Rhinolophus ferrumequinum: one gene and its partner. The protein of the gene in region 1 interacts with the protein of each later gene in a pairwise test. Links are inferred from orthologs where the notes say so. Each region holds a gene or a part of one and is shown on either strand. Other genes may lie near its edges. The genes, in order: ZBTB25 and SEPHS1.

Region 1 (12,052 bases):
AAAATCTGCAGTAATTCTAGGCATCTGCTTATGAAAATCACTGAGAATATTAGAGAAGAGGGTAAGAAGTAGATGTGGTAGATGATACAGGAAGAGCAGTTATGCTCTAGAAACCTTTAACGGAACAGGGAAACGTCAGTTTGGGGCCTCCTGCCTGTTGGCAGATATAGCCAGCCTGCTGCATCTCTAACCCTCATCTAACCAACATGTGGGATGCCTGATAAAGCCACAGTACCAGGCAAACAAGAATGCTAACACTGGTGAGTACAAATTGCTGGTGGACCTTAAAAAATCAGAACCCTGTGAAGGAAAGGAAAAAAATTCTTCTTAGTCTACTAAAAAAATAAAGATTGCATTTCTGAAAGAATAGGTACTAAAAGGAGGAGAAAGATGGAAAACAACAATACTAGCACAGACCTAGAATACAGTACAAACAAGAATGATCGTATAAGAATGAATACAGGTGATCCAATATTTCCTTTGCATGGAACATTCCACAACACATTATCCACATGAGCTAATGAAACCCTTTGCTTAAAGTGTCTAGAGTTTTTCAGAAGGAACAAAAAGTCATTGTCTATTGATTTATAACCAGGGAAGAAATTAGAAAAATTTCAAAAATAATTAACAACACTATAAACACCTTTTCTCCAGATAAGATTAAAAGAGAAAGAAAATCCTGCTGGCAAAGGGAAAGCAGAAGTGTTAAATTCAATTAATAATCCTGAAACTGATGTTTACTTCAAACACTTTGTTTCTTCCTTCTCCACTTTCCACAAGCAAGCTCAAGTAGCAATCTTTCCTATCCTAGAGGGAATAATACTGTTCCAGATATTATTGATAGCTGCTATTATAATGAGTAAATACTATATGCAAGGCCTTGTGCTACTTAAGTGCTTTATGTACATTATTTCTTTTCATCCTCACGGTGACTACATTTGTTCTTTTTATTTCCATTTTACAGATGAGGAAAAACCTAGCAATTAGTAAACTACAAATGGTATAAAGTGGTGGTCAAAAGCTAGGTCTGCCTCCATAGCTTATGCTGGTAACGCTAAACTAGAACAGTATTTTTCTTAGCATTCTTCTCTGACAAGACTGAAGTTCACATGCAATTTGGAATAAATAAGCAGAAAGGGGGCACAGGAAGTGGTATAGAAGTACTTTATAATTTATCAAGATAAGAGCACCGGTACTGCTTTTTTTAAAACAAGAAAAAAATACTGCAATAATATAAAATCCCCAACTCTTTTCTGGCCGTCATTACTAAAATGGACAAGTTTTTCTTTAACAAGATGGTCAAGCACCATCTTTGGACCATAGTAAATAAATCACTTTGGTTCAGTGGTGAGGAGGGCATTATGCAACACTTCCCAGCACAGCCCTCACCAGGATATTTTATGGCCAAGGCACTTGGGCCCCTCCTCCTCAGCTAGACAGCCTGACTCCTTCCCATTCCCCTCAGGAGATAGGGTGGAAGCACACAGCTCCACTTTCTAAGGCATAGAGGGCAGCTGAAAGTCCTGCTCAGCTTCTCTGGGCAACCACAGGCGCCAATAAATCAGCCACAGGCGATTCTCTCATCCCCTTCCTGGCTTGAAGTGGTGGTGAGATATAGTGCAAAAGAGCCAGACTGGACTTGGGAGATACCGTTTCCCTGAAAATAAGACCTAGCCGGACAATCAGCTCTGATGCGTCTTTTGGAGTAAAAATTAATATAAGACCTGCTCTCATATTATATTATACAGACCCAGTCTTATATTACAGTAAAATAAGACTGGGTCTTATATTAATTTTTGCTACAAACGATGCATTAGAGCTGACTGTCCAGCTAGGTCTTATTTTGGGGGAAACACGGTAAGTGGTCTAGGCTGAATTCTACTGCAAACGACTGCATTATTGAAGCCAACTAAATCTCTGAGCCTGTTTCCTTGTGTGTAATAACAGAGACAATACTACATCCTTTTTGGTAAATATTCAACACTCCTCTATGAAAATGGCTAGCCACTGCAGGTACTTAATAAAACAGTGACCAAACCTGAGCAGAATCCATCTCCACTACCTCCAAATAAGACATTCAGGGCAGGACTGGACAAAAAGGTGTAGCTAGTCACGTGAAGTCCCTCCCTCCTTTCTTGCTGACCACCCAGTGATGTTCCACTGCTTCCTGATAACCTCCTGGCCAGCAGTACTAATCAACTCCGTGTCCTATCCCATCATTGCTCTGTTCCCTAGTAAAGAGCTGATGTCTTTGTGATAATGGACTAATAATTTACTGTTAATTAAAACATATCCAGATTGCTAATGAGGACTTTGATGCCTTAACCTAAGGAAGCAACCAATGCTGCAAATATTGGTTATTCTTGCAGAGAATAGGCTGAATCGGAGGGGGAGGAGGGTTGAGCTCCAAAGTACATCAGAGGCAGTCTATTCCACCTAGAAATAGTGCCAACCCCATTTCTTAAAATACCAGAGCCATCACACACTGGCCAAGTCTGATTTCTCAACAATCTGGACCAAGCCAAGTAAAATCACCTCTGGGGGACAGTCTACAATGAGTGGGTTAAACTGGCACTGCACTCCTGGTGTGCTAGAATAAAACGACCAAGGCATCTGGAGCCCTGGAGTCCAATTACTCAAGAGGTGCAGGACCTCCATCAGCTACATGATCTTTAGGCTGGGTGTCCTCACGTGTAAAATAAGAGGGATGAACTGGATTTTCTATAAGGCCCCTTTCAGCTTTAAAAATCTATGATTACAAAGTGTACTTTACACACTTCACAAAACCTTGTGGGAATGAACAGCTTTGCCCAAAAGACTTTATTCTCAAGACAATGAATGCCAAATTTAATCCCTTGCGGTGAACCGGGCGTTCATTTATGAAACATGTTAGGGGCTGCCAAGTTCCAGGTACAGAGCTAGGCGCTGCCTAAGCAGCTAGAGAACAGCTTGATTTCTCTAAATGAGTGCTAGGGAAGGCAGTGATAGATGGCGCAAGCTTTAAAAACAAAAACTGGATATGCTTAGAATGAAATTAATCTGAAAAAAGAAATAAATGAATTATGGGATGGGCGGGATATTTCCTGCTCTAGCAACAAAGTAATCACAAATGGGAGGTGGGGAGGGAGAGGGAGGGCAGTGGTAGCAACGTCTCGCAGGCTGCACCTGGAGACCCGCCCACTTGCTAGGGATCCGGGCGGCCGCCCGGGGAACGCCGCACGCCAGTCGGGGCTTCCCGCGCGGGGTCGCAACCGGCTTTCTACAGGGAGGGCTCTATGCCTTTGCTGCGCCCCCGCGCGCGGACTCGCCTGCATCAAGTCCAGACAAACGCCTTATGCAGACAGCCTAAGGCGGCTCTGGGCATCCTCGACCCAGCATTCACTCGCAGTTGCCATTTTTCTCCTTGCCCTGACTGACAAGTCAAATGGACCAAAAACACCCCCCTCCCGAGCTACTTGCATCTGTCCGCGACCGGCGCAGCTGCAGGCCGCCGCCGCCCCACGCGGCTCGCGGCGGGAGGGACTGAGCTTGGAGCAGCCCACAGGGGCCGGGCCGCGTCGCTTACCCAGACGCCGCCGCGGCGGCCGGCCGGCTCCTCCGTGCGGGAGGGGCGGCTCCCGCGCCGCAAACGTCACGCGGCGGCGCCGGCTCACGCACCCCGCGGTCCGCTCTCGCGCGGCTTCCCGCGCCGGCCGTCCCGCGGTGGGCCCACGTGACCGCGCGCCTGGTAGCCGCTGAACGAGGGGCGCGGGGGCCGGAGTATGCGTGCATGCGTGCTTACGTGCGCGCCTGCCCTGGTGGCTAGGAGGGGGTCGGTTTGCGCTTGGGGCGCCTCCGCCACCGTTCCCAGTCGTGACTCTGTAGGCGGAAGCGTGGAGACGAACCTGAGCGTCACAGGCTCCACACACGTACACACACACACACACAAAACCGCGTGACCTGGGGACTTTCCCTGGTGTGTGCAAAAGCATGGGCACCTCCTCTGTTCGGGGATGGGGGTGGGGAAGGATGCGCCGCGTGTTCACGGGGAGAGGGGTGAGGGCGCAAGGCCAGGGAAGCTGAGCCGCGGGAGCCTGGGAGGGGAGGCTAGTTAGGTGGGGTGGGGCATGGCGGGGGAAGTGACTCAAGGCCGGAGGCCGACAGGCCCTTGGAAGGCGGGGTGGGGGAGCGCGGGGAATGGGCGACCCTGAACGGACTGGCCCCGCACGGGACAGGGTGAGAGTGCCGGCGCCCCCAGAACGCCGGGGACGTACCGCGAGGGAGGGCCCAGCTGCTGGGTCCTCCCGGGCAGGGGTCTGACATCTGGACGGAGTGGGAAAGCAGCATCCTGCCCTTGGGGAGTCGGGAGGAGCCCAGTCCCATCCAGCTGTGCAAACAGGAGGAGGAGGTCCCAAGCCTACCCTTGGGAGAGGAGCGAGAGGGGTGGTCAAGCCGCCGCCGCGCCGGCCCCCGCGGTGCGGGTTGCGCCAGCCTCCTCGGAGCCCGACGCAGAAACTTGTTGCAACAAACAGGCGACCGCGGGTGCCCCTAGCAGCCAGCGGCGGAGTGGGTGGGCGGGCGAGAGGGAGGGGAAGGCTGGCGGACGCCGCAGCGAACTGGTGGGCAGACCCGGAGTCGCCGCGTAAGCGGGGCCGGCTCAGTGCGGTGCGGCAGGCGCGGCTGTGCGGCAGCGGAAGTCCTTTGTTGCAGCACAGTCCCTGACAGAGCCAGAACCTCTCCGCGCAGCCCAGCCCGTGCGCCGCGCGTCGCCTCCACTGCAGTTCGCGGCCCCGTCGCCTCCGCCCGCCTTTCCCGTGTCCGATTTGCCTTAAACTCCCTAAAATCTCCGCAACCCTGGTTCCTGCTGCGGCCGGTGAGTATTTGCCAGTTGTGGGGCTATTTGCGCAACTTTGGCCCGCGCCGAAGGGCGGCGGGCCGCGCGGGCCTGGCGGAGTGCGGGGCCAGAGCGCCGCCGACCAGTGCGGGGAGCCGGAGCGCGGCGGACGCGCTGCGAGGACCCGGCGACGGGCGGCTGCTGGGCCCGCCTGCTCGATCCCGCCGCCCGCCGCCTCACAAGGTCCGGGACGTGCGGCCTCCCTGGGTCTGAGGCGAAGCTCCTGCGGAGACTAGTTCCCACATTAGTTACCGTCTTTTCCCTTTCTTTTTCTGCCCTTATTTTTTTGAGAGGGGGGGAAGGGAGAGGTGTAGACGGAAGGCGGGAGGACCCGGTTGATTGACGTGCCCAGAGCCCGCTTCTCTCAACTTACAGCTGCGGCTCCTCGGCGGGTGGGAGGGGAAGTGTCCCGGAGCCCGAGGCCGCAGACTTGGGCGCGCTCCGAGAGAGGAGGCGTAGGAGCCTTGCAGATTCTTGCCACGCTCCTTTCCCACCCCCTCTTGCCGGCACACACGCTTTTTGTTCAATTAAAAGTGGTAGGTCTCGGGTTTGGGAATTTTCAGGGGGAAAAGATCTTGTTTCCTGAGAAGAAAGTGCTTTTCGCTTCCAGTGGTGGTCGCTTTCCAGAAGTTCTGTTAGAGTTCCGTAAATGTGTTGGAGGTACTAGATCGGGAGTCGTTACCACTAAAGTATGTAGGCTTGAGTCTGAGCTCAGGCACCCTCCCATTCTACCTAAGCAACGCGTTACATGATCTGAAAGGTTGACATGACATTTTCCAGATTAGGAGCGTCAGGGAGATGTTGGTGAAAGTCCTTGATGTTTTCTGGGGACAGTGGGGGCATTTGTATATGTAATAATATTACTAAATCGAACTGCAGCGTGGTGGGTAGGCACAGATTCTCCACTAGCCTAAGTAGTTTTCCAAATAGTATGTATCACAGCAGGAAAACTATTCCAGGAACAATTTTCTCTTTGACACTCGAACCCAAGGAGTGGTCCCAGGCTTTTTTAGGAGACTTGGAATAGTTTCTTGAGCTGAAGTTCAAGGCATTCTGGAGCTTATTTGGTGACGGATGCAGTTCTCATGGTAAGTTCAAAGCAATCACCGTCTTTGAAACGGAGAAATGAGATTCTATGAAACTTTGTCAGTACAAATTAGATATGATGGAGAGAATTGGGATACAAAAAGATGAAGCTTGACTGAAGACTGGTCATCAGAACTTCAGAATTTTTCTTTTGAATCATTTGCTATATATCTGATAAAGTTTCAATAACTGGCTTTGGGAGCTAGATGGGGGTGGGACTTCCTCATCTTAAACAGAGAAAATTGAAGTATAATGGAGGTGAAATGATTTTCCAAAGATTAATAAAGACAATCTGCAGTAGAGCCTTCAGTTAACATATTCATTTTAAAAGCAGGTTTCTCCATTATGACCAAATACAGAATAACAGGTTGAGCAGTCTTTCCTGAAGCCTTTCTGTTCTTCCCATTCCAACATAGTAGCCAGTTTTGGGGAGGAGAGAGGGCCCATCACTGTTAAAGAAAAGAGAAACCATATTTAACAGGGCATAAACATAGTTTGAGCCACTTGCTCTTGACCTTGTGTTTTGATTTCGGTTTAACACTGCTAAGTTTTTGTACTTAGCACCATTTTCCGTCCTAATATGCAGGAGAAAAAAAGTGCCTGCTTTCAGGCCACTCCTCCAGCCAGGAAGAGTGTCAAGCATTTGCTATTAACCTTCTGGCCTAAAGAAGAGGAAACCATTTGGAATAAAAATGCAGAAAATTTTCCATAGATTTTTATTTTTAAGCTACAATCTGTTGTCTTTCAAAAAAAAAATGAGGTATGTTTGCAAAACATCTGCTTGAGAGGTCACTTTGGTCTCTACATAATGTTTTGTCCTGATATTTTCTTCTGGTGTTAATATCTCTTACAGTAAAATATTCAAATTACTTTGTTATTTATTCTTACATGAACCAAATTAAAAGTGAGTCATGTCTTTTTTCTCAAAATGGAAATACTTTATAAGATCCATGCTCTTTGTAAAAATTCAACCTATACTGAAGTACAGAAAATACTATAAAAATGAAAGTCATTCTGACTCCCACTCCCCAGAAATAATAACTGTTCACAGTAAATTCCTTGTTTAAAATGAGAGAAGGCAACATTTGATCATAACTGTGCTGCTGTGTCTGCCTCACCCTGCCTAGGAATGGCCTGTCAGATGATTCAGGGACTCCTGTTCTCTGTTCACTACTCAGGTTGGTGAAAATTGTCCAGGTAGAGTAAAAGGAAATATTTTGCATTGGGCTGATTTGAAATTCTATGATAAAGTAACACATGAAAGTTTAAATGTAACAGGGCTGCTATTTTAGGCCTTCCTTTAGGAAGTACTTAACTGTGCCTTGGTGTGCTAGTCCTAGTTTTCACACTTTTAATGTTAATGTTGATGTCCAGTTTATCATGGATTGATTTACACAGGCCAAACTCATTAAAACAAAACAATACCCTCACATTTGTAGAGAGTTTCATAATTTATAGTTGGGAAGGAGAAGGTACACTTACCATGAAGACCACTGCTAAGATATCTCTGTGCTGATGTGGGATGAGGGGTTCCTCTGAATCAATATCCAGAGGTAGCAGGCCACACATTGAGGAAAGAAGGGGATGAATGACTATGGTTTTTCAGATGTAGCACGGAAGGAGATGGTACATAATTAAGATAGATTTCTAAGTAATATTATGGCTTGTGTAGTAACTACAAGAGATCTTAGTGAAAGTGCAGAATCACTTATTAGCCTGGTGTGAGCTGTGAAGTAGTTGATGATGTTCTGAAAACAAAGCCCCCAAAAGAAGTGTAATCACAACATTGGTTATTTGCGGATGTTGGGGACATGCATGTTTTTTACACTACTCTGCTTTGAGTTTAAAGTCATTTTCAAAATAAAATTGGAAAATTAAAGACAGTTAAATCAACCGTATTTTCTGTTTGTTGCCTGTGTGAGATAACACATAATCCTTTTGAGATGAAGAGCTCCATTCCCACTTGAAATCTTTAGTATAAGGGGAGGGCTTGCTCTGATGGGCAGTGGGAGTCAGCAGATGGAAGAGATGGGGAAGGAGCCCGGCATTCTGCCTGCAATATGAGGCAATATGAGGATGGGGTGACTGGGAGGCTTAGAATGTTGCAAAGGGACACCACTAAATCATCATTGTCAGAAAGAGTGTTGTCTGGTTCATAAAAACTGAAACTTAGGGCTCTGAATCAAGATGAGCACTTATGTATCAACCACTGAACCTGTATCCTCATTCACAAAATAAGGATAAAAATACCTACCTCAGGATTGTGAGAATCAGTTGTATAATGCATAAGAAATTGCTTTGTAAATTTTTGGCCACTATATAAAAGTTGCCGTGATTGAAATAATGCAAAAAATTGATAAGCAAAATAAAACTTAACCGACTTCAACATTTATTCATTCAGAAACTGATCAGATATCAACCAAATATCAGGCAACTGTTAGAGGCTCACGGGACACAGTGATGACCAAGACAGTGCTCTGACCTCTAGCAGCTTACAGCAAAGCAGGGGGACAACGCACTTACAATCCCTGCTGGGAGTGTGGTGATAGATCCAGTGTCCCAGTTTGAATGATATATTATTTGTCACCCTATAGTTGTAGGTACGGGCTCTTTCGGAAGCACAGAAGAAGGTCAACTGCCTAGCCCTGGGATCAGAAAAAACTTCCGGAAGAAAGTGAGCTGGACCTTGAAAAGGGTCTAAGGAAATGTAATAGCATGTATGAAGGCATGAAGTCTTATGCTGTGTTAGGTGCTTTGGGATGAGGGATAATCTTAAATCTTAAATAGATTTAAGGCTTAGAAATGGAGTTAAGCTTCTTAGGATGAACATGCTTTTTATGACACTTGGTTTCATTTCATTGACTTTTAATTAGATAAAAGTATGAAGTTCTCAGGATTTTAGTTAGAATTAAACATAAAAAAAAAATCAGAGCTACAAAATTGGAAGCAATACAATTAAGAAATGTGTGGATCTGCTGAAAGAAAGGAACAGGGTAGTCCCTCCCATCATAGAGCTGCTTCACCAGTTACTCATTTAGCCACATTTACTGAATACATACTACGCTGCAGAGAAAGGAACAAGCCAAAGTCCTTGCCTCCAGGTTCCTCATGATCTAGAGGGGAGACCCACACATAGGAAATTACGGTAGCCAATTCTTACTTAGCACTTACTCCATGACAGTAATAAGTCTTAATGCTTGGAAGGATTACAGTCCTCATTCTCAGATGAGAGGATTGAGGCACAAATTGGTTAAGCAACCTACCCAGGGTCGCACCTAACAAGTGGCAGAGCCAGAATTTGAACCTAGGCAGTGTAGTCAGTTTGTGCTTTAACACCTACTTTATGTTGCTGTTCTGGTAATTAAAATACAGTGTAATAAGTGCAAAATAAGGAGATAATACACAGTGATATCAAAACCCAAAATAGTGGAAGAGGGAGGTGTTACAAGAAGGCTTTTTGGAGGAGGTGATAAACTGCTTATTAAATGATACGTGGGAGGTTCAGGTACAAGAACCAATGAGCATGACTAAAAATGGAGGTAAAATACATGAAGAAATGAGGGATTGGGGGGGAGGGGGAGGTACAAGCAGTTTTATGCTGCTTGAACATGAAGTTTGAAGCAGGAAGTAGCCAAACAAGACTAGATGGGTGGGCAGGAGGCCTTTGATGCCTTGCTAAGGAGTTTGTACTTTAGCCTGAGGATATGTGAAGGGAACAGCAGAGTTTAAGCAGGAGACAGATATGGTCTGATTTTTGTTCTTTATGAGTCGTCTGAGGGTGAAGGCTGGATTTGTTAAGGAGGGACTAGTTAAGGAGGCTCTTGTAGCAACTCATGAGTGATGATAGAGGCCTCAGGAGTGCAGGGGAAGTAGGGATGGAATAGAGGGGCAGATTTGAGAAATATTTAGTGAAAATATTGGCAAGACTTAATTATGAGGGGGGAGACCCAGGTGACTCCCAAGTAGCCTGGGTGATTGGTGCATGGCGGTGCCAACTAAGACAATACAGGTGGAGGAGCAGTTTTAGGTGGGTCCCAGACAAAGTCACAGAGTGAATACTTCTGGATAGATAGAAGTTCCACAAAATGAACTCTTAAGAATATGAATGCCACGTGCTTTTTAAAAAGGGACTTTCTGATGAAGCTGCTTTTTGCTGAGAAGCCTACTGTTCACACTGTGCCCTCTGGTGGTCAGAAAACGTCATGTTGCCTCCTTAGGATGAACAGATCAAAATGTAGACTGGTTGGATTAAATAATTTTCCTCCTCTACTCCTAGAGGGAGAAGAGTGTTCCAGAAGCCACTGTGTTCCTGTTGCTTTCTGTGTGGATAAATTCATTTCCTAGACCCATAATGCAGCTGAATTACAGAAACACCTCACTTATTCAGAAGTTTATTTGGTTGGCAAACTCAGCTATCCAGGTGCCCTTGCTGAAGCAAAAGACTTAGACTATTTGTTGCTTATCAACAATTCAAATAATTGAAACAAGTGCAGGAATTAAAATCTTATCTTACTCCTAGAACACTTCCCTAGGTCCTCACAGAAAATTATTTATGTAGATTGTCTCGATGAGTTTTTGTCTTCCTAACCCATAACAGATTGAAATGGTGGGCAGCAGGAGCTTAGCATACCTTTTAGAAGTGACAGCTGTTGGCTTGACAAGCAAGGAGACAGAAAAATACCGACCAACAAATCACAATCTTCAAAAGCATAACAGTCTCAGGCCATTTGGTAGGTGCAAACAACCTTTGGAAATTTGAACAGCTCTTACATTTCAGCAAAACATAATTGATGCAGAGGAGAAAGCAGCCAGCCAGGTGTGCTGTACTTAGGGGCTGCAGTTAGAATAGTAGGAAGAGCCCCAGACCAAGGTCCCACCTGTCAGCCTCTAAAATTAGATATGACCTTGAGCTTATCACTTAACCTCCTAGGGCGTCAGTTTGTTTTCTCATCTATAAGGCAGCGGGTTGAACTTGATCACTTTGTAAAATTGTATGAATTATGTTCATATTGATGACATTAATATTTAAGAAAAATTGTATTGTGCTTGGATTGAGAAGACTAAGAAATATTTGTCATCTCTAATTTGTACAAGAATCCTATGAGAAATGTGATTATCCGTATGTTATAGATGAGAAAAGCAGCAGGCTTACAGAGGTAAAGAAGTTTAGTGGTGTTCAGATCTATTGGTGTCTGCTTCCTAGGCTCTTATTTAGTACTTTCATTTAACAAGCATGCATTCAGTGCCAACCAGGGAACACAAAGGTCATCAGCCTCGTCCCTGTCCTTGAGAATTCATTTAGGCACTGCGGTACAATACCTCTGTTAGTGCTAATAATGTAAGTAATACTGTTAGGACTAACAGACAGCTACATTAGGGTTTTTAAAGATTTTAGAGTGTGAGCATAGGACTGAGCCCCCATTTGTAGCATTGTCTCTATGGGACTATACGTTTCAAGTTCCAAGTAATTATCTTAAAAATTAAGTTTTAGAATGTAACTTAATTATAATTTCAGAACTTCCTGTACTGAGTATCGAGCATACAGTCTAATAACCAGAATGCCTGCTCTAAAATGTGAATAAAATTTTCTAAACTTAATCATGTCTGTCATTTTAAGTGCCTTGAGGTAAAACCTTTTATCTTTAGGAGTCTGTATACAACTGGTTCTTCCTGGAAATTTCAAGGAGAAATCCCAAAGAATTTAATTAAGTTTAAATTTGGAAATTTGACTGTATACCCTGGAAAATGATATTCTAGGAAAGAATTTTTGCTGAGGTGACCTTATTTTTATAGGTGGCAAAATCATTAAGGCCATGATGTCAGCCTGAAGAGTCCTATTGCTTGTGTTCTAATCTCACCAAGTCGTCTGTAGCCTTAGGAAGGTTATATAACATCGTGTGCCTCTGTTTTCTAATCTGCAAAATTCGTCTTAAAATGCCTGCTTTGTAGGGTTTGTTATGAGTATTAGACAATAAAATGGTATACATATTTACATGCAGACATATGTGTATATATATAATACATATGATACACACACATTTACTTAGACTAGAACCTGGCACGTCTATGATAAGGCAAGTAAAACAATTCTAC
Region 2 (11,653 bases), on another chromosome or scaffold:
GCAGCCAGCTACCCTTTCATTCACACCTCAGATCACGAGAAGTTCATGCTGATAGCCCTGTGTGGGGGGCAGGAGGGAAGAGAGAACAAACACATCCTGCTATTTATGGGGAGCAGGAGAAGCTAGCTGTCACTCATTCACTTGACAACAATTTGCTGAGTGCCTCCATATTTTGAGTGTGGACTTGGGAGACAGATGGGCTGGATTTAAATGCAAGTCCTCCACTTTCTTCTTTTGTGACCTTGGACAAGTTACTTACCCTCTCTGGGCCTTGGTTTCCTCATTTATAAAATGGGCATAGTGGTACCTACTTCCTAGGGTTGTTATGAGGATTAAATGAATTAATACAGGCAGAGCTCTTAGAATAGTGACTGTCCCGTAGCCAGCGATTTTACGTGCTGTTATTACTGAACATGTGGCCACGGTCTCCCCACCCCCACACGCAGAGCTTCCAGTCTTGTGAGGAAAGCAGAAACAAAACCACCACAATATAAGCCCCCAACTGAACACTTAACCACCAAAGCATCCAAACTTACCCCCTCCTCCCCCCCTTTAGGATCTTCTCCAATCAGAGACCGCTCCTCATTCTCACATCTTTAGTTTCTTCTGCTCTGATGGCTTACATACCTGCTCAAAGCTTTGCAGGTTCTAAAAATCCAACCCCTCCTCTTCTCCCTCAAGGAAATGTCCTGTCTTCTCCTCCTATAATACGCTTCTTAAAGGAAGTGTCTACACTCAGATCTCCACAACTTCAATTCCTACTCGCTCCTCAGCCCATTACTCCCTGTCTTCCTCCCCCCCCCTTGGCCCCAGCATGTGAGTGTCCCCACCAAGGCTACCAGGGACCTTTTCAGTCCAATCTGTTTTCAGTACTTGTTTCACCTTGCTTTTCTGTAGCACTTGACAATGTTGACTCTTCCTACCTTCTTGAAATTCTGTGTCCCCCAATTCCAGAATAGCCCTCTCCTGCCATTCCTACCACAGACCAGGGAATGCACTAAGCACTGGGAGGCAAAGCTACCTAAGACAGTCTCTACAAGGAGCTCATGGCTTTGGTGGGGCAGGCGAGAAGAGAAGTGGAGGAGCGACTAGGTGTACGGGATAACTGCAAATCAGCAGGATAGGTTCCACGGTGAGGACCAAAATGGGTTGGCAGGGCTGCGTTCCTTCTGCAGGTTCTAGGGGAGAGAATCCATTTCCTTGCCTTTTCCAGCTTCTAAAAGCTGTCCACGTTCTTTGGCTCATGGCCCCTGATCACTGACTCCTGCTTCCTTTGTCACATCGCTTCAGACTTGCCTCCCTTTTTGAATTCTAAGGATCCTGGTGATTACATCGGTCCACACCCCGTTATCCAGGACAATCTCCCCATTGAAACATCCTTAACTTAATCACGTCAGCAAAGTCCCTTTTGCCACGTAAGGTGACACTTTCACAGGTGGCGAGGATGTGGATGTATGCCTACCACACACGGGTGATTGTTCCTCTCGGAAAAGCCAGAGAACTCTGGAGAGAAGGCTCTTGGAATGGAATCTCACCGGCTTACTTATCATTTACCAGAAGTGGGGACGAGGTGATATAACGCTTCTGAGATGCTAAGTGGAGAAAGACAAGGTGAGCCTGCAGATCTATAAGCGGCTCAGGGTGGCTGTAAAATAGGATGAGGGCACCTTCTGGAGATTAGGGAGGAAAAGCAGAAGCTGGATCATGAAGGTTTTTTTTTTTTTGTTTTTTAAAACCACAATAAGGAGACTGAAATTTATGTACTTGACCAATGCTCTTACTTAGCCTGTGCTACTGTTTCCTTAAAATTTTCTTTGCGACAACACACTTTTTGTCCTAAAGAATAATGTCCACGAAATCACAGGTTTTACATGTTAGGTATTCTTTCCAATGTGTGCTGAAATGAACACACAACTGCAAAACTAAAAAAGTTCTTCCACGTACCCCCTAAAGGCATCTGTGCACACCTGTGAGTGAGTACGAGACTTAGAGAAACGGAGCCAGAGGTAATGGGAGCCCCACAAAGGCTGTATGTGGGAAAACAACATGGCCAGGTTTGCCTTTGATAAATATCATTCTGGCAGCAAGTGAGTATCACAATAAAAAGACCACAAATAGGATGCTTCCACTAGAGTCGAGATGAGTGATGAGAAAAATGAACCAAGACAGGAAGAGTGGCAGTGGAGGGGAGGGTCTGGGTATGAAGACCATGCAGGAGGGTAGATGTGATAATAGTTAAGACTGGAAAAAGAGAGGAGCTGGGGATAAGTGCCAGGTTCCAGCATGTGCCATGCAGCAGAGAACTGTCTGTGGGCCAAGAAATGAGGAATACATGGGGGGCTGGGTGGGGTTGGAAGAAAGATGATTATTTTGGTCTGGAATATGCTGAATTTGAAGTGTTTGTGGAACACTCAGGTAAGGGCTTGAATACCTGAGCCTGGGGCTTGGAGCGTCCTCTGGAGCAGTGTTGTCATGTAGAAATATACTCTGAGCCACCTAAGTCATTTTAAATGTTCCAGTGGCCACGGTAAGAAAAGCAAAAAGACACAGATGAAATTAATGATGTATTTTAAATAACCCAACATATCCAAAATATTATATTTCAAGATGAATCAATAGAAAAATTATTGCGATGTTTTACTTTCTTTTCCTTTTTCCTTTTCTTCTTCATCGTTGCCTTCATCTTCATCTTCTTCGTCTTCTTTGTCTTCATCTTCAAAATCCAGTGCATTTTTCCCACTGAGAGCACATGTCAGTTCAGAGCTTCTGGGCACTCGATAGCCACCTGTGGGGAGTGGCTACCATACTTACTGGACAGCAGGGCTCTAGAAGCCCCGTGTGACGTACAACACAGGATGAACATGAGGAGAAAGGCCAAGACAAACCTGATGAACATCAGTGATGGCGCAGGTGAGCAAAGGATAGTGAAGGAGGACGCATCAAAGGAAGTAGCCAAAGAAGTTAGCGGGAGAACGAGGGAAGAGCTAACATCAAGCCCAAAGAATTTCAAAAAGAAGGACTACTTTCATGGCCTCGTGTGCTGCAGGGAGGGCCCCTGGGGCAGGCAGTTGGGCTCCAGACTTAGCCCCATGTTAGATTCTGGCTTGACTGCCTCCAGCTGGGCACTGTGGCAGAGGCTGTTGACACCATGGAGGCCTGGCCCACCTCTGTGTCCACCTGAAGCTTCTGGGACAGTTTCTAGCCCACCTCAATCACCAGCATGCCCGGTCCTCAGGGCTGCTTCTGTAACCAGGAAGTCTGAGTCTCCCCTGGTCCAGTGAAAGGGACGGGGAGGGGCTCATCCCTTAGCCATGAAGGATGAAAATCAGTAGATAAACACCTTCGTGTCCCTGCCTGCCAATGCTACTATTTTAAGGGGGTATGTTCATTTTCTATTGCCGCTGTGACAAATTACCACAAACTAGTTTGAAACAACACACATTTATGATCTGACAGGTCTTTGGATCAGCTAAGATCAAGGTAGCAACAGAGTGCATTCCTTTCTGAAGGCTCTACAGGAAAATCTGTTGTTTCCTTACTTTTTCCAGCTTCCAGAAAGCTCCTGGACTCCTTGATTTGTGGCCCCTTCCTCCATCTTCATAGCCAACAAGGGCTGAACCTTTCTCATGCTGCCATCTCTCTGGTTCTGTTTGGATTCCACCTTCCACTATTGAGGACCTTTGCGATTCAATTGGGCCCATCCAGATAATCCAGGACAAGCTCCTTAAATTAAATGATTGGCAAACTTAGTTCCATCTGCAACCTGAATTCCTCTTTACCTTGTAACATAACATGTTCACAGGTTCCAGGCACTGGGATATAGACGTCTTGTGGGGAGGTGGGGGGTCGTGGCATTATTCTGCCTACAGAGTGGGTTCTGTACAGCATCTCAGAAAGGCACCAACTGGGGTGCATCCTGCTGCCCATGCTGGAAACCCACTCATTTACATTTTTTTTTTTTTTGCTTTCCCTTCCCTGTGTCATTTTGCCCACTTCCTGACTTGTACTTCCTGAGACCACCTCACAAATAAACTCCTTTCCCCCAAATCCTCATCTCAAGATCTGCCATGCAGGGACCCAAACTAAGACAGTGACCTTGGGTAAGTTAGTCAATTGGTCGGAGCCCTGGTTCCCTCCAGCATGAAAGGAAACATCCATAATCGCACCTACCTCCTGAGGCTGCTGGGAGATTTCTAAGATGATGTTCAGAAAACACTCTGTAAGTGGCGTGTGTAGTAAGTCCTCAAGAATAGTTCGCTGTTGTGGGCAGGGTGGCAACTGGAGTGCAGCAGGTGCTAGCCTTGTCCTCTCTCTGTGACTCTGGACCTGACCGTCAGAGAGGGTGGGGTGGCACAGGGTGGGACAGCTGGAAGGTTTTCTCTGAGGGCACCCGTTTTTTTTCTTGAGGTGTATCTGCTACTGAGGTCAATAAAGTGTGATGTAGACGCTGTAGAGAATAACGAACATTAGGAATACATACTTTAGGATTTTGGAGCTGCCAGAAAAGCCCAGTTGATATGAAGGCCGGTGGATGGGGGGGAGGACAGAGAGAAGCCTGCAGTTAGGTCAAAGGAAGGCAGGAAAGATCTGGTGGATTATCCGACCCCACGGTTGTAGAGACTGGCTCCAGGTGAATTGAGGTGTCCGTGGCTTAGTCTACAGCCTCTGCTCAGGAGAATTTGACTCACGTGTTTCGGAGCTGCTGGCTCCAACCACGTGAGCTGGCTGAGCCGGTTCTGAGATGGCTAGCCTCTAGCAGACTCGGCAGGGATCAGCCTCCTGCTCGTCCAGTCATTCCATTAGGGAGCACCGCGGGGATCTGTCCAAGGTCTCACACTTTTTCCCCCGGAACTTTCCCTCCTGGTTAATCTCACATTTGTCCGAGGCTTCAAACTCCATTTGCATGCTGATGGACCCACATTTGCATCTCAAACACAGAGCCCACCCCCACTCCAAGAACCAAACCTGGTTTTACCAATTGCCTCCAGCCCAGCCTATCTGACAGGCATCTGAAATTTAACATTTCAAAAGCTGAACTCACCCCAAAACGTGTGACTTCCAATAGTTCCTATTTCAATTGGTAGCATCACTACCCACACAGTCCCCCAAAACTTTATATCTGGGGGTCATCTTCTGCTTCTTTCTCCAACCACACACTAAATCCTCTCCCTCGTCTGCATTCCTGTTGCTTCAGTTCAAAAATTCTCGACTCTATGCTTGACTAATACAATTATCTTCTCACTAGACATGTGGCCCAGCCTTTTTACAAACTAAACTTGTAAAAAACAAATCTGATTGACTCTGCTGACCGGCATAAATACCCAAATCCTCAGCACGACACACACGTCTTCACATAGGGCCCTACTCAGCTCTCGTGTCACCTTCCCTCATTCCCAAACTTTTTCCTAGTCGTGACGTTTTTGTGAAAATCCAAACAAAACCAAAACACCACAAAACCAATATAAAAAGGGAGCGGGGTGAGGAGAATAAAGGTATCTGTATCTTCCTGCCCTGATACCGGAGGTCGGAAATGTTGCCTGGAGATTGCATGTATCTGAGCCTTCCCGGGTGATTCAGAGGCAAATCTAGGTTTGTCAACCACAGGGTTATGCCATTCGTACAAATATCCATCAAATCACATCAAAGAATCCAGGCTACTACGTTCATTTTTAACTTACTGTAGGGGTACAGAGAAAGGACACAAAAGAGAGAAGGAGCCTGCATCAGCCAGGTTTTCCAGGTTGCAACAATTCTGCATCTTCGCCTAGATGAAACCGCTGGGCGTTTCAAGCACAAATTTTAAGAATGAAAAGTGCATCTGCGTCGCCTGCAAACCTGACGCTCAACATAAAGCACCTTACGGCTACCCAAAACACCCCTGCCCCAAAATGCATTCGGAGAGTCCTGAACCGCTCTAGAAGTTTGGTCCTCCACACTCCTCGGTTTTAAGGGAAGGCCTAAGGGATGTGGTCTGAAACCACTATGCTTTTTTTTTTTTTTTAAAGCAGTGCATTAGAAAGTTGAAAACCTGAAAAACGTTAACTTTGCAAACTGAAGCTCTGCTATCACTTGCTAATTCAAACACAGACAGTATGAGGCTGCCATGTTTACTTGGACGTGTGAAGAGCGAACAATGTAACTGAGGAACATTAAACCCTGACTTCCTACCAAGCATATTATAAACGCTCAAGAAACATTGCAGGATGCTTGCATGTTCACGAAGGCTCATGTTAACTCCTGAGCCAGACTAAACAATAGAAGGGGAGAGGCGATGAAGTCATTATTCATAAAACGCGCCGTTTGTCATTTTAAATCTTTCATGTTAGTTGTGGTATCTTTTGCCCTGCTCCCACTTTTTCAAGTTGTTTCCATGGTCATTGTCTTCCAATACGACACGACAGGCGCGCGCGGGGAGCCGGTCCAGCATCCCGCAGAGCGTAGCGCGGCTGAGCCCGGCCGGGTTTTGGAAAACATTCCGGGCCCTTCCAGCCGGTCGAGGAAAAGTAGGTGGCCCGGGCGCCAAAGGCTGCTGCCAGTGCAGCTCGCAACTTTTGAAATCAATCCTTTTTGCATCATGCAACGGATGCCACCGCTGCACGGCTTTGCAACCCCCCACCCCTCCCCCGAGACCAATCATTGCCGCGCTCCGGCCTGCACAGCGCCCCCGCCCCCTTCCCGGGCCGCACACAGCCACCGAGCCGCTCCGGCCGCGGCCCGCCGCCTCTTAAAGGGAGGTGGCCGGCCCTTAAAGGCCCCTCGCCGCGGCGCACGGCGAAGCGCGGCGGCCCGCTTCCCCGCAGGGGCCCGCCGAGCCGGGCCGAGCCCCCGCGGCGCCCAGCGCGGCCCGGGCCCTCCCGCCCTCCGCGCCGCCGCCGCCGGGAGCGGCATTTTTATTCAGGCGACGCTTAAGGGAGCCCGGCGCGCCCGGTGCATTGTGGGAGCGGCGGCGGCCCGTTTTCGGGAGGAGGCGGAGGGCGCAAAGCGAACCGGTAAGCGCCCGGCTCGGGGAGGGGGGGCGCGACACCAGGCTTAAAGGGGAATATTCGTCCGCAGGCCCCGAGCGGCCGTGCAGATCCCCCTCCGGGCCGCCCGGGCCGCCGGGAGCTGTGCACGGCCGGCGCGCGCCAGCGCTGCCTGCAGAGGGGCCGAGCCAGGGCTTGGTGGGGCCGCTTTAAAAAAGAAGCACCGCCCGCGCCGCCGCCGCCGCCGCCGCGCGGGGCCGGGGAAGGAGGGAGGGAGAGAGGGCGGGGGAGGAGTGGAGGGGGAGGGCGGCGGCGGCGACGCAGGGGTTAATTTTTTCGCCCGCCGACATTTTTGTGCGGCTGCGGCCCGCGCGCGCGGCGGGAGAACCCAGGCGGGTCTCCCTGGCGCGGCGCCGGCGGGCCCTCCCCGCCCCCCGCGCGCGCCCTCCGGCCCGCGGTCGCCGCCGGAACCTGGGGGCACGGGCCCGGCCGGCCTCCGGGCCGGGTTCTCGTTGCGCTCGCGCTCGCCCCGCCGCGGCCGGTGGGCCGTGCGCGCCTGGCTCCTTCCCCGCCGCGTGGGCCGCGCGCGGTTCCCGCCGTCGCCGCTGCGGGGAGGACCGGCGGGCGGGCATGGCCCAGCCAGCGGCGCCGCGCTGCCTCCCCCGGCCGCGGCCAGCCCGCCGCGCTGCACAAAGAACCCAGGCTCGATTGGCCTGTGAAGGCGGCAGCCTGAGATTTAAGGTGTCCCCGAGTTCCGTGCCCCGCGCTCCGGCGGCCTCGACGTGTGCTTCATGGCAGGCGCCTGGCCGCTGCACCCACATCGCCGTGTCCCCCCCATTGTTGATGTCCTGGGCTTAGGGGCTAGGGGATAGGTAGGTATCGGGCCGCGGCTGCACCCTCTCCCACCCCCACTTACCGTGCTGCACCAGCCGTGCGGCCCGCTTTGCCATCTCGTCTAAAAATTTAAACGTGCCGGAGAAGGAAAGGGTTAACCGTTGTCTTTAAATATTCATGTCATTGTTTTAAAGGTGTAAACAGGCGGCTTTTGGGCTGTAGTTAACTGCCTTTTATTATGCACAAATACACGTTTATTTTCGCCCCCATTAATTGCTCATATTCCCAAGCACCCCCCCACCCCCGTCCTCATCTCCTCCCCAAAATGTAGGGATTTATTTTTCTTAATGGTCGGATATGAGTGTGTGATTCGTGTCCCTCGTTCCATTTGGAAAAAACTCCTGAGTGTTTTCTGGACTCTGCTGTTTTAAACTTTTTTCCCCTTAGAAATCCGGGAAGATATAAAGGATCTTTAAAAGGAAGTTGGTCCCCCCTATTCCAAATTCCTATCCCTGCTTTTTTTTTTTTTTTTTGGATAGGGATTGGAGGTAGGGAAATAACTGGATACCTCCTAAGTTGGATTTTTTTTCCCCCTGGTAGAAGTGAGGCGGTGCTAAATGTGAGGCGTTTTGAGAGGAAAGGACTGTTGTATTTTGTTTCAAACCCTTCCAAGTCAAAGCTGTTGGACTTTTCCTAACTCTAAAATGGCTTCAAAATTCCCGTCTTGGTTACTTGCTGGCTTTGCTCTCCTGCGGCCCTCTTAGGACAGGTTGTTTTCTTGGAATATTGGAAAGTTTACTCCTGCACAGTTGTAGCTTTCAAACCAAAATCATCGCTCACCCCAAACATGTTTTTGTAAGGATGGTTTGGATTACTGCCCAAAGTCCAGCTTTGTGAGATTTTTTTTTTTTTTTTTTAATGAGTGATGTCCTTCCCAGGAGATTGAGAACTCTATAAATGGGAATTATGTTCTTGATCATACATTTTATAAGGGAAACCGACCCTACAACTTGGGGTGTGTATAATTCAGTGCCAACCTGGAGGTTTGTAAACCCTTGGAGCACATACTGAGTTTTTGGTGTAGCCCCAAAAGTTTCAAATTCAGGAGTACTTGTTTCAGAAAGTTCCAGTGGTACCAAGTACCATAAATGCTAGTCATTTAGTACAGCTTAATTTATCATTTTAGTTCTGCAGTGAAATGGTAATGAGCAGTAGCATATTTTGTGAATGATGTGTGTGTACGAGTTTGTTGGGCGGGATGTTTGCTTTCTAGGAACTAGCACTGCATTAAAACAGCGGAGAACTTTTCCATCACTCTCTTGAATAACATGAACCTGGCTGTGTTACACAGCCATTCCAGTTTTCAAGTTCTTTTCTTTAGTAAGACTTCCTATTATGGGTCATGTTGTGTACTTCTGGCTCAGAGTAAAAACATATTTTCCTAAAATTGAATTTAGCATCATGAAGAATTTCATCAAATGCATTTCCATCAACATCCTTTTTCCACAAAGTATCCAGCAGGCATTTTATTTTTCTATGCGAGAGCGCAAAAGATATCAGAAAAGTTTTCTAGAAAAGTCACGTGAGCCAGAACGTTTAATTTCTAAATCATAGTGCTTCTGAGTTGACAGATGAAATGACTGGATGTTTTTTCCATAATGCTGCCCACTAGAATACCCTTTGGGACTTACTGTTCAAGATGGCACTGTATCCGCTGGCCCATAGTTCCGTCTTCAGAGGAGATCTTCCTTGCTGCCCCTCGGAGCCACAATTATAACACAGACATCAGATCTTCTGTAGAAAATGTCTGTGATGGCATAGTCACTTTTTAAAAATAACTTACTCTGGTGTATGCATCACTGGGACGGACTCCTGTGGCCCCAAATCACTGTCTCCCAGTGGTCTTGTTGATTTCAGCCCTTTTCACATTTACTTTCCATTTTCAGGTATTCATTTGATTCTTGGCAGGTACTGGTGAGAATTCTTCTAATGGTGTTTTTGTGTTTTGGTGATACCCAGGTGAATCTGTAAAGAAACCAGCTGACTAAGAGAGGGAGGGAGGAACCCAGCTGTGAGGTGTGTGTGCCCCGAGAACCATGTCTACACGGGAGTCCTTTAACCCGGAAAGTTATGAATTGGACAAGAGCTTCCGGCTAACCAGATTCACTGAACTGAAGGGCACTGGCTGCAAAGTGCCCCAAGATGTCCTGCAGAAATTGCTGGAATCCTTACAAGAGAACCACTTCCAAGAAGATGAGCAATTTCTGGGAGCAGTTATGCCAAGGCTTGGTATGTGAACCATTGTTTCTCTTACACTTCCCTGAGTAAAAGCATCTTGGCTGCAGTGTAGTCAATGAGTCAAAAACCTGATTTCTCTCCTCCCTGTTGCCTTTAAAAAAAAAAATTCTGTAAGAAGGAGTCAAAGAACAAAGCAATGGTAACTGTGACATTATTGTAACTATGTTATAGTATTGTAACTTATTTGGAGGAAGTACTTGAGATCAAGAAATGTGCTCAAACCATTTTTGTACTATTAAGTACAGGATTCAGACAATTATAGTAAAAGCATTTTTTATTAAATTGTATTTTCTGGTTAGCTAAGAATTAAGAAGAAACTCCTTTATGCCTTTATCTTAAAATTTTCCTTAAAATGCTTGCATTCTCTTCGTTGCCTTAGGAAAGGCGGTGCTTAAGCATCATTGTTCAGTGCATTGACAGCAGTGATTGGTTTGTGGGGGGGGGGGTGATTTGGGGTCCCAAGCTCCTGTGGTGAGGAGGGAGAAGAAAACTGCTTCAGACACAGAAGGGGAGAAGACTGAACTGAATCTGTACTTGACCCCAGGACGTCATCTGGAATTGAATTCCTGATGTCATTAGTAGTTTGCCTTTTCCCAAATATAGGATTTAGAAAGACATTCTAAGCTGTTGGGATATTGTGTGATTTCTTAAGTATGTGATGCAAGACTGTGATCACTTTGCTTTTTGAATGTTTGGCATGTGTTCTAGGAATCTGGATGTTTTATAGTCACAGTATGGCTGGATCAGCTTTCTTATGTAAGGTTTCTGTTTCATTTATTTTCACCCGTTATTTTCTTGTAAAGTTCTCTCTTACAACATTGGTTGTGAACCCAGGGTACTCCTTTCTTCACTTATGTATAAAGCAGGTAAAAGCTGAGTTGCTTTGTTTGGGAAAGAGGAAAGTTTGTCATCAGGATTCTAAGTGCAAACGTGTTCAAAGTGGGGAGAAGAGCTGCATCAGCTCTAACTCTTAGCCGTGGCAAAAAGGGACAGAAGTCGACAGCAAGAGTAGAGGCAGGAAACAGCGGATATAAGAACACAGAGGAAAATAAATCTGGTCACATATGGCTTTTGAGAAGTAAATGAAAGCTGTTGCCCTTTCCCAGAAAAATCCACAAAATTTTGCATTCAGGCATTCTCTGGGGGTAGCGATGGACCCCGGGTTACAAGCAAAAGGATGCGGACGGAAGCATAGTATTAAAGCCATGTACAGAAGTGGTGTACACACTAATGTTACTCTGTACATCTTCTGAACCCTCCTGAGCCTGTTTCCTGATCTGTACAATGGGACAATAATACTTCGTAAACTGCTATACCAGAAATTATCTAAGTATGTATATGCACCATGTGTATATGTACCCACATACATAATACATGTGTGTATGTATGTTTGTCTATACAGGTATTACACACAAATGTACTTACGTGTTTTTAAATTTTTTTCTAAGGGTCACATTTCCTGGATTCTAAGATGGTATTAATTGAAGAATGAATCATACGGTTGTTAATATACACATGCTTATTAAATGTATTCTAACTGAAGGAATGTTAACACCTGA

Evidence for each region.
Region 2: the proteins of ZBTB25 (region 1) and SEPHS1 interact in binary tests that used the Homo sapiens proteins (3 or more experiments, as listed by UniProt). The two-hybrid records come from large-scale screens. The link is inferred for Rhinolophus ferrumequinum from reciprocal best matches to the Homo sapiens genes ZBTB25 and SEPHS1.

The regions. Positions count from the first base shown.
Region 1 is NC_046289.1:31,369,228-31,381,279, reverse strand, and holds the start of ZBTB25 (zinc finger and BTB domain-containing protein 25), read right to left. Parts: upstream 4,521-12,052; 5' UTR 4,401-4,520; intron 3,744-4,400; exon of another isoform or gene 3,566-3,743; intron 3,555-3,565; exon of another isoform or gene 3,460-3,554; intron 1-3,459. UniProt on the Homo sapiens protein: May be involved in transcriptional regulation.
Region 2 is NW_022680355.1:187,899-199,551, reverse strand, and holds the start of SEPHS1 (selenide, water dikinase 1), read left to right. Parts: upstream 1-6,682; 5' UTR 6,683-6,989; intron 6,990-7,562; exon of another isoform or gene 7,563-7,834; intron 7,835-7,878; exon of another isoform or gene 7,879-9,809; intron 9,810-9,815; 5' UTR 9,816-9,892; coding exon 9,893-10,085; intron 10,086-11,653. UniProt on the Homo sapiens protein: Synthesizes selenophosphate from selenide and ATP.